Linked DNA regions of Saccharomyces cerevisiae S288C. The gene in region 2 interacts genetically with the main gene of each other region. Each region holds a gene or a part of one and is shown on either strand. Other genes may lie near its edges.

Region 1 (3,449 bases), on a different chromosome or scaffold from region 2:
AGCTTGGAAGCTGGGACTACCTATCAAATCAACTTTTAGAATTTCACCCTGTACAGTTCCCACGTATATTTGCAGATCGGTATTGTCGATGAAATTGCAGCACAATAACGGATGTTTATATCGTAGCGATTGTAAAAGGTCAACATTCTTTGCTTGAATGTCGAATTTGTAGACTGTTAAAGAGCCATCCCAAGACGTAATCAAAAGCAGTGACTTGGAAGGGATTATTTTGATGTCGCTTATGTAGTCTTTTGGGGCCTGCTCAATTTGTACTATCTGCATGCCGCGACTGTTGTGTTTTCGTGTTGCAGATATCAGATAGCTTTTCTTTCGCGATGTGATATTTTTTTCGTTCACTATTTTTTGTATTCTCGGACATGCAGATCTCCGTTGGTATATGTATGAGTATATAAATGGAAGATAAATTAAACGGATGATATATTATGCAAAGGGGTGTCTGCCTCGATTATTTATCGTTAACTCAATTTTAATAGTTAAGTTTATGAGGCTTGGTTGTCACCGAAAGTTGGTCGTATCTTAGCGCGTTTTCTTGTATCCAAGTTTTCCTCTTCGTCTTCCTCACTGGAGTTTTCTGGTGACAGTATTTTTCTCTTAACTGTGTTTAACGACTTTATTTTTGTATTCAATTCGTTGTTTCCTTGAATATCAATCCCCTGGGCAGTTCGTAGAGGGGTTGTTGGGGGGGTTCCGATTGAGTCTTTTTGGGCCTTCATTTGCTTTCTCAAGTCGCTCGCCTCCCTTTTTAACTGTCTTAACTTCTTAATTTGATCTTGCGTCTTGAAGAAATCTGGTATTTGGGATTCAAGAAATGTGACCCAATTATCACAATCTGAGTGGATTTGGTAGTCTATAATGCCGTGCCAAGAGGATTCGCCAATGGGTGTCTTGTTTACGAGAATGATCAGGCCGCCACGATCGTGAATTTTCTTACTTAATTTTTTTACCAGTTGTTTCACACCATCAACTTTCAAACTTGTACCCATGATGATCAAAAAATCAGGATTGCCTTTAATTATGTCAAGATTTAGGCCTTGCGTAATAATTTCACAGGATGGATGGTTTTCACCATACAGGACGATATTAGGTCTTAGAATACCCACATTAGAACCAAGAGTTCGCTTTCCTTCATTCAATCTCTTGTTGATAAGTGCTTCGCAATCCGGACACAATGGTAACTCACCTCTTCTTAGACAACGAGACCAGTACCTGCTCCAGGGAAAAGTCTGGAAGCACTTTGTACACGAAAGAGTTTTCAGGTCGCCGTGCAACTGAACGACATCCAGATTTTTCCAATGTGAACTAAATGAGGTAAGCGGTAATTTCCTATTTGATAAAGTAAGTCCTATGCTTTCTTCGAGCCCATCGATGTTTTGCGTGTAACAGCGCAGCAGTTTGTTCCTATCTTTTAGATGCGCAATGAACTTGTGCGTCTTAGTCGGCTTTGCCAATTGAACATTTGAATAGAGCCTCTCCATAAATTTAGCAAAAATGGATATTTTGAAGTCATCTCTAAATAGCGAAATATCAAACATTTCCCTGCCGGACTTGATAGACCAATACTGTGAACAATCCTTTTTCACTAGGTCGTAGAGCCCATCAGAAGAGCGAAAGTCAGGAATGCCCGCGTTGCACGAAATGCCTGCCCCAGTCAGACAAGCAATTCTCCTAGATCTGCTCAACTGCTTGGTTACGCGCCGGAGAACTTCATCGTCGGCATCAAGACCTATAATATGTGCCAGTTTCTCAGTCTGCAAAGAGGACGGTAAGTCGGAGCACATTGAGCCCGATCGACTGGCAGGTGGCGAGGGCGATACTGAAGTCATTTTTGAGAAAGATGGATCTAGTTGTATGTAAATTAATCCCTTCAGTTTTTACACCACTAACCACGTATTTGCCCTTGCTTGTGTTATATATAAGACGTACGCCAGATATAGTTCTCTGGCACGAATAACATTGCTTGCTTTTATTGACGTTTTACCCTTTGTGGTAACAGCAAACATAAACGTCGTTCGTGATGTTGAGTTACTTATTGTTACCCGCAATTGAGGGATACCCGCCACAGAAACACATGCAGTGCATTTGCCACTGTGCATAGCCGTAGGAAGAGGGAAAAACGAACAGGGAAGAAGCAGGAAGAGCAGACAGCAAGAACCCGTGCTAAGGAAGGTGATGAACTTTGGCCACTGAAGGCGCATTTTACCTCTGAAGGATCCCGTTTCCACATTTGTAAGCTAGTGTTCGTTCATATAAACACCCTGATCTTCGGCATTTCACTACTCTTCGGGCTCACGCTTCTCATCCAACACTTTGTGTATATGTCCATCTCCTCATGATGAGTCCCGCCCAAGATAAACTGCAGCACCAGCATCATAATCCTAATTCTTCCTCATCGTCATCCTCTAAGATGACGAACGTTTATCAGGTTACCACGCCAAAGTCTCCTCAGGATTTGGAAAACAACATGGATGAGCCCTTCAAAATGGACACCGCCACCAGTAATCCGGACAAGGATAGCGAAAATACCCAGCGGTTGAAGTACGAATGTGCCAAAGGGGAAATACAGAATGTTTTGAACCTACATATAATGCTAAACCACAAGCATGTTAGGCACTTACGAAGAAATGTTCAAAAGGTTAACGCAAAACTAGCTCTCTTGGAAACCCTGCATAAGGATACTGGTCTATTGAACAAAATCGAACGGACGTATCAACTCAAAATAAAACAACATCAGCAGCATAGCGTGCTCGGCGGCCACTTTCACGACAGTACGGCTACGGAAAATACGAACGCATCAAATTATAACCTGTCATACCCGGTTCTATCGGATTATAACATCAACTGTCAGCCTTTGTCTTCGAGCAGCAACAGAAATCTGTCAACAACACGCATACCACACCACCATTATCATACTAGAAGCAAGAGTAACGGGCTTTTGCTAGAACCTTCTGCCCTCCGTCCGGCAAATTCGAATATAATTGATTACAGGCTAACAGGTTCTAAATCTCTATCAGAAGCCATAACCAAGCCCACTCCCGTCTCGCTTCCTCACTCTAATTCGGATGGCATTTCTTCACCTCGTTCCTCCTCAATCTCCCCCTTAGACGAGCAGCCGGGGTTCCAGATACTCCCTTTTAAACCAAGTCAGATGCATCTTAACCACAGACGTAATTACAGTAGCACTTGTTTGACGAGCAATAGCGGTATCATCGGTAAGACTGAAAATAATGAGCCCATTTTTAGAAGATATGACGGCATTTTGGTTATAATTACGTGCTCCAAATGTGACCGTTCCGGTTTCACTTCCGCGCAAGGTATCGTGAACCATACTCGACTAAAACATTCTAAACTATATTCAAGCCAACCATTGGCAGTTTTAAACAACCAAAAACTACTTCCTAATGATAAGCAGGATCCGGAAATTTTATCTA
Region 2 (3,451 bases):
AATGTACTCCTCAAAATTATTACATTTTATTATGCCTTTTTCTTAGATGGGCTTTCACTCCACTTTACGAAAAACTGAGAAAAAAAGAGTAGGAGAAAAACTAGAAAAGGGGAATCACACACACACACACACACACACACACACACACACACACACGTCTAATATCGGCGCATATTTATCAAATCTAAAAGGCAAAGAATCTTAATACATAAAATCCCAGACGGTTATGATGGAATTCAAAGTGTCACCATTGACAAAGATTATTTCTCTGTCAGGATTCCTCGCATTGGGATTCCTTTTGGTCATACTAAGCTGCGCATTATTCCATAATTACTACCCACTATTCGATATTTTGATCTTTTTGCTTGCCCCAATACCAAACACAATTTTCAATGCAGGAAATAAATATCACACATCTGACTTCATGTCCGATTCATCAAACACTGGCCAAGATCTGGCTCACTTCCTTACAGGAATGCTGGTGACAAGCGGTATAGCACTCCCTGTTGTTTTCTATCATTGCCAATTGATTGGCCATTTGAGTTGTATCATGTGCATGATCGGTGGTCTTATCATATATTCTAGTATTGTTATTTTTAAATGGTTTTTCAAAAAAGATTTCAACGAAGATGATTCCCTTTTTGGTTAATATATAACAATTACTCATCCCCTCAACAGACTAAGCCAACTGGGTGCGTGAACCGTACATTGATATTATATAGTATGATACTCTACTCAAGGTGGGAAATCTGGCGTCGATTTCTCCTTTTTTTTAGAACTACTTAAATATAATAGATTACATAAAATTACTTTCTGTCTTTCTTCCATTTCAAGTTTTCAAACAAAAAATGCCAAGAAATTCGTGTCTTTAGCCTCTAGTTGACAGAATAATGTAGATAGGCAAAGTTGGCTGAATACATCCGTAATTTCGGGATAAGGATTGGCATTGAATCGCCACATGTCTATAATCTTATTTGAATCGATCTATGAGCGGAAACGTTGAGCAATGGTCGTACAACCATTCTGTGCCGCAATATACCTCATGAAAAGAGATGGGATTGCAAACCTTGAGAAATTAGTCTCTAGTAGGATAATGTATTGTACATTTGTTTGATTCCGCAGTTTTTATAGTGGCTTGAGATTTGTATTTCAACTAGATATGTTGAAAATATCCTCGTAGCGAATGTGGACATAGTGATAACAACAATGTCTTTGTCTTCTACACAAAGGTAAAGGTGTATAAAGCTTTACACACAATAAAGACGACACATAACAAATTATGCAACTGCGCTGCTATTGTAGGATAGCGTCCGATATTATCAATTCTTGCTTTTCAGCTTCTATTATATCTGATGACTAGTTCTCAATCTTTACGTCATCTTCCTATGGCATATTTTGTAATGTGCTAGTGACATGAATACTACTATGGATTATAGTAGGATTTCATTCTAACACAGCTCAGTGTGCAAGTTGTTTTTAATTTTACAATATGAATCTTTATTAAGTCTAAAATATTCATAAAAGTTAAGCGCCGTGGCGCAGTGGAAGCGCGCAGGGCTCATAACCCTGATGTCCTCGGATCGAAACCGAGCGGCGCTAAGCTTAATTTTTATATTTTTATCGTTTCACCTTATGAAAATTCTCGATCAGTATGCCTCAATATAGAACACTTCATTAATGGAAGTACCTTAATAAGGTTATACTAACGAATAGGTCTATTTTCCACTACGGTGTAACTTTCCGACGGAAGTAGTAAACGCGTATGAGTTAAACACGCGAAACTCTTAATTTTGAAAAGTACGCAGAAGTTCGTTACATCGCAATCAGATCAGCTCGAAATAATATTTCACATTAACTAACAACCAGAAATAGGCTTTAGTTAACTCAATCGGTAATTAATGGATCAAAAGGCGTCATATTTTATCAATGAGAAGCTCTTCACTGAGGTAAAGCCCGTCCTTTTTACGGATCTAATTCACCACTTGAAGATCGGCCCATCCATGGCCAAGAAATTAATGTTTGACTATTACAAACAGACCACCAATGCCAAATACAACTGCGTAGTGATATGCTGCTACAAAGATCAAACTATTAAAATTATTCATGATCTTTCCAACATTCCACAGCAAGATTCAATAATTGATTGTTTCATCTATGCCTTCAATCCCATGGACAGCTTCATACCATATTACGACATTATCGATCAAAAGGATTGTTTAACCATTAAAAATTCATACGAACTTAAAGTTTCTGAATCATCGAAAATTATAGAGAGGACTAAGACGTTAGAAGAGAAATCTAAACCTTTGGTAAGGCCTACAGCAAGATCAAAGACCACGCCAGAAGAAACAACCGGAAGGAAATCCAAATCTAAAGACATGGGTCTCAGGTCTACTGCACTGCTGGCTAAGATGAAAAAGGATAGAGATGACAAGGAAACCTCTAGACAAAATGAGTTACGTAAAAGGAAAGAGGAGAACTTGCAAAAAATAAATAAACAGAACCCTGAAAGAGAAGCTCAAATGAAAGAGTTAAATAATCTTTTTGTCGAAGATGACTTAGATACAGAGGAAGTAAATGGAGGGTCCAAGCCCAACTCACCTAAAGAAACTGACAGCAACGATAAGGACAAAAACAACGATGATTTAGAAGACTTGTTGGAAACGACAGCAGAAGATTCACTTATGGATGTACCTAAAATACAGCAAACAAAGCCTTCTGAAACAGAACATTCAAAGGAACCTAAATCTGAAGAAGAGCCCTCCTCTTTTATTGATGAGGATGGATATATTGTGACAAAGAGACCCGCAACTTCAACACCACCACGCAAGCCATCACCCGTGGTAAAAAGGGCATTGTCGTCTTCAAAAAAGCAAGAAACGCCGTCATCGAATAAAAGGTTAAAAAAGCAAGGAACATTGGAAAGCTTTTTCAAAAGAAAGGCAAAATAATCTTCTTTTTTTTCCAAACACTTTCCATTACTAATTGTGATGTAATGTATAATACAAATGTCAACTTACGTGATAGAAAAATAGATCAATATAAATATATATTGTTGTTTAAATTTACTTATTTTCGTCATATATCCTAATATACCATCCGAAGGACATTACTATACTGATTTACATGAACGCTTGACATAATTTGAAATTTAGTTTCTTTCTTAAATTTTTCAAAAGTGTTGCCATGCTACTAGGTAAGCTTTTATCTGCTTCAATAATGGTTTCATATAAGTTTGAACTTTTTTCATCAGCGTCATCCCATTTAGTTTCTATAACTTCAATGACTGTCGCCACTGAATCTTCATCCATTAGCTTCTTATCATCTAAAAGGAAAATTGGGTACAGGAATTTCGCCACAAGCAAAACCAAGTAATGTTTTGGTAAATAAGGGAATTCAATCAGCAAAAGCAATAGGCGCAGCGCTTGGCCCCAATCTTCTCTGTCCCTCA
Region 3 (3,438 bases), on a different chromosome or scaffold from region 2:
ACCAGGAGTATTTGAGCAAATAGTCATGGACATTATGGGTACTGCCTGATTTTAACAAAGGGATACTCGTAATGTCAACCGTACTTCTCTTGCTGTTAGCAAAAGTATTGTTCTATTCTTTTTTCCAAGTACAATTTTTTATTCAATTTAAAAACGTCGAAACGAAGACAAGGAAATTCATTGCCATAAAGAAGTGTATGGTATTTTACGTTGGTTTTATAAGAGGATGGCGACATATCAGAAAATTTTTCTCTTCACTCCCCTAAAAGGATAAAGCCGCGCGGACCCTGCAGGAGGAAGTAGTCATCGGGAAGAAGAGTAGAAAAATACATATATTTCATGGGTGACAGACAATACGAAAGTTATTTAAAAGAACTGAAAAAAAAGGTTAAGACCGCAGTAGGGTTGCGAGGTATATGACAAAATATATGCAAAAATCTAAGACAGTGGATGGAAATGAAGATAAAAATGTACGGAACGCAACCTAAGAAAAAGAGGAGAATTGAAAGTAAACCTGTGTAAATAAATAGAGACAAGAGACCAAATACCTACTCGTCTTCTTCTCTGGGGTCACCAACACCATCTTCATAGATCGCGAACACACATTCAGCCTCTGGTAAGCAAGGTGAGTCAACAACTTTGCATAATCTTTGACATCCCTTACCCTTTTTGAAACCTAATCGCGTGGTGGAAGAATGTGCCATAATATTACCACCGATAGGCTTCTTTGGATCTGGATTAAAAGCCATACCACCATCAACTTGGGCGACCACTTGGTTAGTAACGACGACTGCAACACCAAATTGGTCGGCCAGCCTTTGCAAAGCACGCATAAATTTGGCTAAATGCATTTGCCTTGCGCTTAGTTCACCACGACCAGAAAAATCCGTACGGTATAGAGCCATAACAGAATCGACCACAATCAAGGAAAACCGAGACTCGCTCATCATTTGGGCAGCAGCATCCAGAAGTCTTAACTGATGATCGGCGTTATAGGCTCTTGCATACGCAACGTTGTTCAAAGCATCATCCGGGTCTAATCCGAACCGCTGAGCTATGGATACCAATCTTACCGGCCTGAAAGTACCTTCGGTATCGATATACAAACACTTACCTTCACCGCCACCAATATCCAATGGAATTTGGCATGTCACGGCCAAAGTGTGACATAGCTGGGACTTACCTGTCCTGAATTCACCGAAAAGCTCAGTAATAGAACCAGTTTCCACACCACCACCCAAAAGAGTGTCCAAATTCTTAGAACCCGTTGTCAAACAAATCAGCTCCGATCTTCTCATATGAAAATCAGCAGCCGTGACAAATCCCATAGGCACTAGCCTTGCCGCTTCGTTTAGCAACTTATCTGCCTTAGCTTCCGATATACCTTTGATTTCCAATAAATCCTTTCTGGGAGCATATGCTACCGCTTCAGCAGTGTGAAGCCCACTCTCCCTTAGTTTTTTCACATCCGCCATAGTAATCCCGTTCACTTGCAGTTTTTCTATTGGCACAAACGAACCTAAGGCAGCTTCATCGTATGCTTCATCCTCCATTTCACCTTGCGCTTCCGCTTGCTCCTGCAATCCGCCACCATCGCCGGAGCCGTTGGTGGCCTCAATATCTTCGCTGCTACCGTTGCCGTTTCCATCAACGACTGACTGTGAAAGGTCTGCTGGTACAGTGGACATCAACGAACCGTTCCCGTACTGAAGCTGTGACTCTGATATATGTTGTTCTTGAACTTGAGACATATGACGATAACAAATTAGTAGGCCTTTAACAAATAACTACGTCTGCTCTTTGTCGCTACACTCAACTACTAGTATATGGAAACTACGGAAGATAGAAGAAGTAACTGAGAAAATTTTTTCTCCAGTCCCCACTATTCCCCTTTATGGTCCCACCACGCGTACTGTAAACAAACCAGGACAGAAATAGCGGAAATGACGCGTAGCATAGGGTAACGAAGTGTGGCCTAGTCGTGGGATATGGTGAGACGGTGATAAAACACTGATACAACCGGTTGGAATGCTCAGGGAATGCTCAAGAAGGCCACCTGTTGCAGGATAGCTAAACTAGATTGGTTGAAGAACGGTAGTGGTGCATTTCCAACATTTACCGTCCATTTTAATTTACTCTGTGACAATGATAAGCCAGATCGCTATTAACGTGGTGTAGTCATGTGACCGGATGGCACTGCCGGTGGCAAAAAAGTGCAAATGCAGGGGCGATGAAAAGAGAGGAAGAAAGAGTTTATGGCATAGTAGAAAGGCCAATTAAATCGGGAAGCTGCTAAGTAAGTTTGAACCGTAGTTTCGAAGTAGAGTGCGTTTCTTGCGAATTGTGGTGAAAATATTGAACAGTGAATAAAGCATAAAAAAAAAATGTCGGATCCAAGTTCTATTAACGGTGGTATCGTCGTTGCGATGACAGGTAAAGACTGTGTGGCCATTGCCTGTGATTTGCGTCTCGGAAGCCAGTCACTAGGTGTGTCGAACAAGTTTGAAAAAATCTTCCACTATGGGCATGTGTTCTTAGGGATTACCGGTCTGGCTACCGACGTGACTACTCTGAACGAGATGTTCCGCTACAAGACGAACCTATATAAGTTGAAGGAAGAAAGGGCCATTGAGCCTGAAACGTTTACCCAATTAGTGTCAAGTTCACTTTATGAAAGAAGATTCGGTCCATACTTTGTGGGGCCGGTGGTAGCAGGTATTAATTCCAAGTCCGGGAAGCCCTTTATTGCGGGATTCGACCTAATCGGCTGTATCGACGAGGCCAAGGATTTTATCGTTAGCGGTACTGCATCCGACCAACTGTTCGGTATGTGTGAGTCCCTGTACGAACCTAATCTAGAGCCAGAAGATCTTTTCGAAACTATAAGTCAGGCCCTACTGAATGCTGCTGACCGTGACGCTCTATCAGGCTGGGGAGCTGTAGTATACATCATCAAGAAGGATGAAGTGGTGAAGAGATACTTGAAGATGAGACAAGATTGATCGGTTCATGGCAATCTCATGGTCCCAAAAACAACCCCAACACAAAATATCAGCGGAACGTCAAGAATTTTCCACATCCAACTCATCTTTAATTTTTAAGTAAACAGAATAGATCGAATGAATATATAAATACTAAAATGCATAAAGTCAGTCGAAGATCTGAGTAGCTATCCGCTGGCTGTCCTTTTCTAAGGAGCAGCGTTATTCACCAGCCGCGAGTCTCTTGAAAAATTGGCGCTTTTAATACTTATTAGGATGGGGAACTTGATTCTTTGACGGGTTTGTCAGCAATTAGTACGACTATCCTACTTCATCAAGAAACGAAACTATGATCGAAGAGAAGAAGGAACTTAAGAAACGCAGGGTTCTTCAAATGGCCAGATTTTATGGTGCGGCCGCCTTCACCCTGATTACCATGAGGCTTATCTCCAGGGCC
Region 4 (6,032 bases), on a different chromosome or scaffold from region 2:
AATGGCTTAGATTCATTGGGCCAGTCTTCATTTTGTAATTCCGGAACAATAGTCAAGACTTTCCCGGTCAATATCACATTCTTTGCATTTTCAACGACCAGTTCTTCCATTTTCTTTCTTGTTTCTACACTATGTGTGCCCATATGAGGCAGTCCTAAGACTTGGGACATCGATAATAACTCTTTGGATATTTTTGGCTCATATTCGAAAACGTCCAAACCAGCACTTCTAATCTTTCCAGAACGCAAAGCATCAGTCATGGCTTGTTCGTCTATCACGGCACCACGCGCTGTGTTAACAATAACTACACCATCTTTCATTTTTTCAATAGTCTCTGCATTGATTAGATGGTGAGTATTGTGGTTCAGTGGGACGTTTACAGATACTATATCAGAACGCTTCAAAAACTCCTCGAATCCTACATATTCACAACCATGCTCTTCTTCGGAAGGAAGCTGGTGTCTGTTATGATATATGAAATTCTCGAACCCAAACGGCTTCAATCTCTCTAAAATACAACGACCAATCCTACCTAGACCCAGTATACCAACTGTTTTCCCTTCAGGGTCGTATCCAAAGGGAGAACCACATGCGGGTCCTGCCTCCGGCCAGTTTCCCTCGATCAACCTTCTGTTACCAATACCGAAGTTTCTTAGGGCACCCAATAGCAAAAATACATGCGTATCAGCGGTAGCATTGCTAACTAAATCAGGAACATTGGCAACCTGGATGTGCCTTTTCTTGAATGGCTCAACATCAATTTGGTCATAACCAGCACCAGTATGACATACAGCCACTACGGAGGAGGGCAAAGCAAGAGCAAGCTCTTCATCAAATCTACCGGTGTTTTTCACACTCCTTGCTGTTCTAGTAATGACTTGTACTTGGGAGAGCTTATTTTGTGGGTCTTTTACCTCCCGCAAAAACTGTTCTCTAGTGGTGGATTCAGGGATGGTAATTACATCCGCAATCTTTTCCAATTCCCCCCAGGCTTGGTCACCAAAGGCATCCTTTCCTAATTTCAAAACAATTGGTTTCTTACTCATATTCTCTTCTCCTCTTCTTGCTCGTTTATGTATTGTTAATACTTCGGTATTGTAGAGCAATAATCATGTAGAAGGATTTCCCTAACGTAACAACAAGGCCAATAGAATTTACTTTTTATATGCTCGAGATTAGTGAAAAATGGGATAAGATTGCCTTGTTATCCCCGCCCCCTGCCAAGACTTTTGCAGATTTTAAGTCCGCTCTCGGTCCTACGTAATAAATGCCTGGAGAAGCTCTAGAGCTAATTGCGTCGTCCTTCAGGAATTCTGAAGACCACAGCAACGCAATCAGATGGCGGAACCACATTATGAAGCCAAGTGAGGTGTATACAGAGTTATACGTACTTTTCATCCATCCCCGCTCGGTTTCACCGTTCATAACGCTGGTTTTCACTGCCACTTCTCATATCAAGTCAGCGAAATAACCAGTAGTTGTCCTGTATATAGGCATCCCTACCGTTTGCTTTAGGAAGCTGTTCTGTGTTACTATCACAACTGGGTAGTGCCCTGTATGAATTGCTTCCCTGTGGAAATGGCCCTTCCATTATGCTACTTTGACGCGTTTACTGCCGCATTACGCGTTTACGATGAAAAATTAAAATGAGTATTAAGGATTTTTCAAATGAGATATGGTTCGTAAGTCGCCTCACATATGATAATACCATCTAGCTTGTGGGGTTTAGTGTATCTTTAATATAGGAGGGCGCACACTATGTCTGCTGATTTGCAACAAGGCACTACAAATGCGGCTGATTTCTCTCTGACGGTACTTAGAGCAAGAATTGCTTTATTGGCAACTGCCATCGGTGGGCCGGATTATACTTCCCAGATAGACCCACCCCCTTATAAGCTTGGCGATGACTGTTTGGCGTGCTTAAAAGATCTGAAAAGATGGTTTAAACTAGTGGATGACCAGCAGAAAAGATGGGATGTGGCAATGGCAGTAGCTGAATATCGCATCTTGACGGATGATCTGTTACCTATTCTGATAGATTGGGAAAACAAATGTTCTCTTGCAGCAAAGCTTGCAAAGAACAACCCAGACCATGAAGAGTTTAGAAACAAAGCTTATTACGATAAAATTGCGCTAAATTGTCTACAACTATTGGTCCTTATGACTTGGCCTTTAATTGTAACTGAACAGTCTTCATCAAATCAAATTACTCTCTATGGTGAGCTAAAGAAGCATCAATTGGTATACAAGAAAACGATTCTGTCTATGGAAAGTGGTAAAGTGTTAAGAGCTGCCATTAGATTGGCTCTGGATGTTATCAAAATCGACCGATTATCAAGAACTCCTAGGGACAATATGGTTCTCAAATTGGTTTTGAATTTTTTCAGAAATGTCATTGCTATAGAACCCGGTGAATTTACTATCAATACTAAGAAAAGCATGCCTAAGAAAGGTATCACATCTATCGATACTTTGCCACCAAACGTCTCTATGGATGACATCTCTTTAAATACGGTTATTTCCTCATTCCATAAAAACAAGGTATTCGGTTTCCTCTTAACGCTGACCAGCTCCTTATCAAAAGAGTTTGACCAGGACTTTATCAATATCCCACTGTTGGAGATTATGTTCTACTTCACTAAAGATGTTAACCAAGAACTGCTATTCCCTCGACAGTTCGAAACCGGGACACATTCAAAGGTGGTAAATAAAAATGAGAGCTCCTCTGCTAATAACATTGTTACAAGTGCAGGTTTTGAACTATCGAAGTTATTACAAAAGGAACACCAAATGAGAAAAAACGTTATCAAGCATACATCTGCAAGACACTCCAGATTTGGTGGTCTTTTATCTATACAAACACCAGATAAAACTAGGTTAACTGTTTCTGGTAGCCAAGCTCTCGTAGATGAAAAAATAGCGCTCCAAAAACTAGATGACAGCAAAAAATGGAATAAAAGAATAATTAAAAAGCATCAATCTGTCGCAGCTGAGGGCTTACCGAATAGTCTCTTGAATTCACAAACCGGTAAAGCTATTTTTTTCACCGAATCAAATGGTAAACATTTCAAAGAATTCATCAACAACTTTATAGATTCCGGCTTTAACATCTTGTTGCATAGTGTGACGAACTACTTCACAACTGAGCAGGATAGGATGGTAACTTTGGAGCAAGTCGAATATTTACTTTTCTTTGCATGGTTTGTTAAATACCAGTTGTTGAGGTCCAAAATCGACAATTCCGCAGATATAAAGCAAGTTTCAGAAGCCTTGAAAGAGGTGACTTTCATTCTAGTGTCTTCTCTTTTAAGAAGCGCATATGACCTGAAAAATTGGACAGTGACACATGCTGGTATGATTGCATTTAATGAACTGTTGAACCTCGTTTCCCGTACAAAGGCCGCTCAAGAAGAGGATTCGACCGATATAGAATTCATTGTAAGTAGGCTTTTCAGTGACGAGAGAATACAATTACTGTCAAATCTGCCGAAGATTGGTTCCAAATACTCCCTCCAATTCATGAAAAGTTGCATTGAACTAACACACTCGGTATTGAAAGTATTAGAGCAATACTCTGACGATAAAACATTAGTTATTGAAGGCAAATCAAGACGGCAAAAAAAGTTTAATATTTCAGAAGGTGATATTACTAAATTGATAGAAGAAGAAAATGTAGATAGAGATGAAGCGCTTGATATTCTAACCTCTTCTTTAAGAAGTATAGAAGTCAATTTTCAAAAGGTGCAAGCCAACTATATGACAGAACCGGTAATAGAAACGTACATTAATTTCCTTGAAAGATTTCGTGAGCTTGAGGACGATTCCATTAAAAAAGTATTTTCCTTTTTCCATAGAGTATTTGTTCAGGCAAAAGAACAGGCATTGTTATTTAGATTTGATTTGATAATATTATTAAGAGAAATGCTTTCACCTGACGGATTAGATAGAATGTCTCGTTCAAGGAAATATGTGAGTCAATTTTCAGACTACTTCCTCGCCAGGTTGAAGAAAAGGTTAAAGAAATCACCTGCTTGGTTTGTTGGATTACTTTTCCCGCCATTACACAATAGTGAAGTAGGATTTTACCAAAGATATGGTGAATATAATGTACTTAATAATGAATCAATGTATGCCGCTCCTGCATCACAGTTCAAACCAATTCCCGATGAAGAAGCCTTACCACCTTCGATTTTGTTGGATATGAAATATGGTGTTTTAGTTTCCACATTACTTGATGATGGAAAAACTGAACTATTGGACCAACTGCTCAAGCATATAACCCACACACTAGATATTTTTAAGTCGTGGCTAACCGTAAATGTTAATGCTGGGAAAGAAACAGTTAATCCACCCAATGAATATTTCACATTGACAGGTGTACTCAACAACGACCCTATTTTTAAAGATAAGGACTACAGGGCTTTATTGTTGCTGATAGGATACTCCATTCCACGTAAAATCAATGAACCTTGTTTTTTACCGGGGACTGTTGAAGTTTCTGACCTGACTGTTTCTTGTGAACTAGTGAAAAAATACTTATCAACACCATTTGAAACTCCAAACGGACTGCCTTCTTCTTCCTATCTTCTACGAGTTCGTTCAGAAAAGGATAGTTTTTCTCACAATGAACAAGATGGATGGGAAGGAGACGATGATTATGATTACAACGATCCCTACATTGTTCCAGATGATCAAATTTTATCGAAAAGCGACGCAGCATACTTCAAGGATTTAGATAACAATGCATCAGATAAACTTAAAGGTACCAAATTCAGTAAAGGGATTGCGAGATCCAAAAAAAAAGATAAGAGGAAGCGTAGGAAAGGAGAAGCCAAGACTAATTTGCCAATGTTTGGCGACCAGGATGATGAACGACCTCAGACCGTTAGAGAACGCCATGGCGTATTCAGTAAAGAGTTTATTAGTGATTCAGAAGATGACGAGGATTTGATGAACCCTATATTTTTTGAAAACGAAACATATATGAGATGGTTACTAGATAAAAACAATGGTCAGTTGACCGAGGATAGATATATCCAGTTTGCCAAATTTGCCGCGGAAAGGATGAATAATGGGGGTGTTGTGACAGGAGATTATACGAGCTTGTTTGGTGGATCCATACCAAGTATTGAAAGCATAAGAGCTACAGAAAGTAGTTCCTTTGCGCCAGATAAAAGCCTCATTTCTTTAGCAAGCCACGTGGCATCTGAAATGTCTATTTTCGATGTAAATAATAACAATAATAATCAACTCTCTGATGACGATGTCAACTCGGAATCAAGAAATAGTTTGGGCTCATCACAGCCATCAAATTCGCAAAATATGTTCCAATCTGAGGTGTATAGCAGAAAAGAATCTACAAAGCGTTCTTTGGAAGCGAGTGCAGCCGATGAAAGCGATGAAGATGAAGAGGCCATCCGCCTTTTTGGCAAAAAGTCTAGAGTTGTTTTGAGCCAAGGTGATAGTGATGATTGAGAATGAATATGTAGTAATTAATCCCTTTAATACGTGTAATTTTAGAACCACTTCTTTACTCTGTTTTTAAGTTCAAAGTATTGACATAATATTAAAACAATACATGCGATTCATTCTTTATCATTACCTATATTTTTCTAAGTTGTTGAACATCTTAAGGAACTCAAATGTCCATTAGGACACATAAAATTAAATATTATATAATTTATTGCTGTTCCTGGGCATCATCGAAATTGTCATCATTGCTTGAAGACGCATGCAATCCGCTACTAGGACTATTTTCCCCTATTTGTTCTTGGGTTTTGTCGCCTATCGTCAAGTTTGTCTTTAAAGTTTTTTCATTATTATCCTTCTTAGAGTTCTCGTCTCCAGAAGATGCCCTCTTCGAGGATATATTTTGTTTTACATTAGACTCAGCGTTTTCAAATTCAGTCTGATCAATTGCGCTTTCTTCTCTAAATTGCTCTTCTAAATCATCCAAATCTTGGAGTAACTTCTTCTTTTGTATCTTGCGTTGAGGAGCCTTTTTCTTTATTATAGAACGACCTTTTTTATCT

What was found.
Region 1: mutations in POL32 (region 2) and HST3 impair growth when combined (synthetic growth defect), as found in Saccharomyces cerevisiae (6 studies listed by BioGRID, with this or other methods).
Region 3: mutations in POL32 (region 2) and RAD51 impair growth when combined (synthetic growth defect), as found in Saccharomyces cerevisiae (14 studies listed by BioGRID, with this or other methods).
Region 4: mutations in POL32 (region 2) and TOF1 together harm fitness more than expected from each alone (negative genetic interaction), as found in Saccharomyces cerevisiae (9 studies listed by BioGRID, with this or other methods).

What each region holds. Positions count from the first base shown.
Region 1 is NC_001147.6:376,614-380,062, reverse strand, and holds HST3 (NAD-dependent histone deacetylase HST3), read right to left. Parts: upstream 1,845-3,449; coding exon 501-1,844; downstream 1-500. Other genes in the region: BUB3 (Bub3p), read right to left, coding at 1-282; AHC1 (Ahc1p), read left to right, coding at 2,351-3,449. UniProt on the Saccharomyces cerevisiae protein: NAD-dependent histone deacetylase, which contributes together with HST4 to histone H3 'Lys-56' deacetylation, regulation of telomeric silencing, proper cell cycle progression, DNA damage control, DNA recombination, and genomic maintenance.
Region 2 is NC_001142.9:515,961-519,411, reverse strand, and holds POL32 (DNA polymerase delta subunit POL32), read left to right. Parts: upstream 1-1,898; coding exon 1,899-2,951; downstream 2,952-3,451. Other genes in the region: VPS55 (Vps55p), read left to right, coding at 227-649; NUP85 (Nup85p), read right to left, coding at 3,123-3,451. UniProt on the Saccharomyces cerevisiae protein: DNA polymerase delta (DNA polymerase III) participates in chromosomal DNA replication.
Region 3 is NC_001137.3:348,293-351,730, reverse strand, and holds RAD51 (recombinase RAD51), read right to left. Parts: upstream 1,752-3,438; coding exon 549-1,751; downstream 1-548. Other genes in the region: SHC1 (Shc1p), read right to left, coding at 1-33; PUP3 (proteasome core particle subunit beta 3), read left to right, coding at 2,385-3,002; AIM11 (Aim11p), read left to right, coding at 3,331-3,438. UniProt on the Saccharomyces cerevisiae protein: Required both for recombination and for the repair of DNA damage caused by X-rays. Its function may be modulated by interaction with other repair proteins. RAD52 interacts directly with RAD51, via its C-terminus.
Region 4 is NC_001146.8:121,125-127,156, forward strand, and holds TOF1 (Tof1p), read left to right. Parts: upstream 1-1,758; coding exon 1,759-5,475; downstream 5,476-6,032. Other genes in the region: GOR1 (glyoxylate reductase), read right to left, coding at 1-1,046; guanine nucleotide exchange factor SEC2, read right to left, coding at 5,681-6,032. UniProt on the Saccharomyces cerevisiae protein: Forms a fork protection complex (FPC) with CSM3 and which is required for chromosome segregation during meiosis and DNA damage repair. FPC coordinates leading and lagging strand synthesis and moves with the replication fork.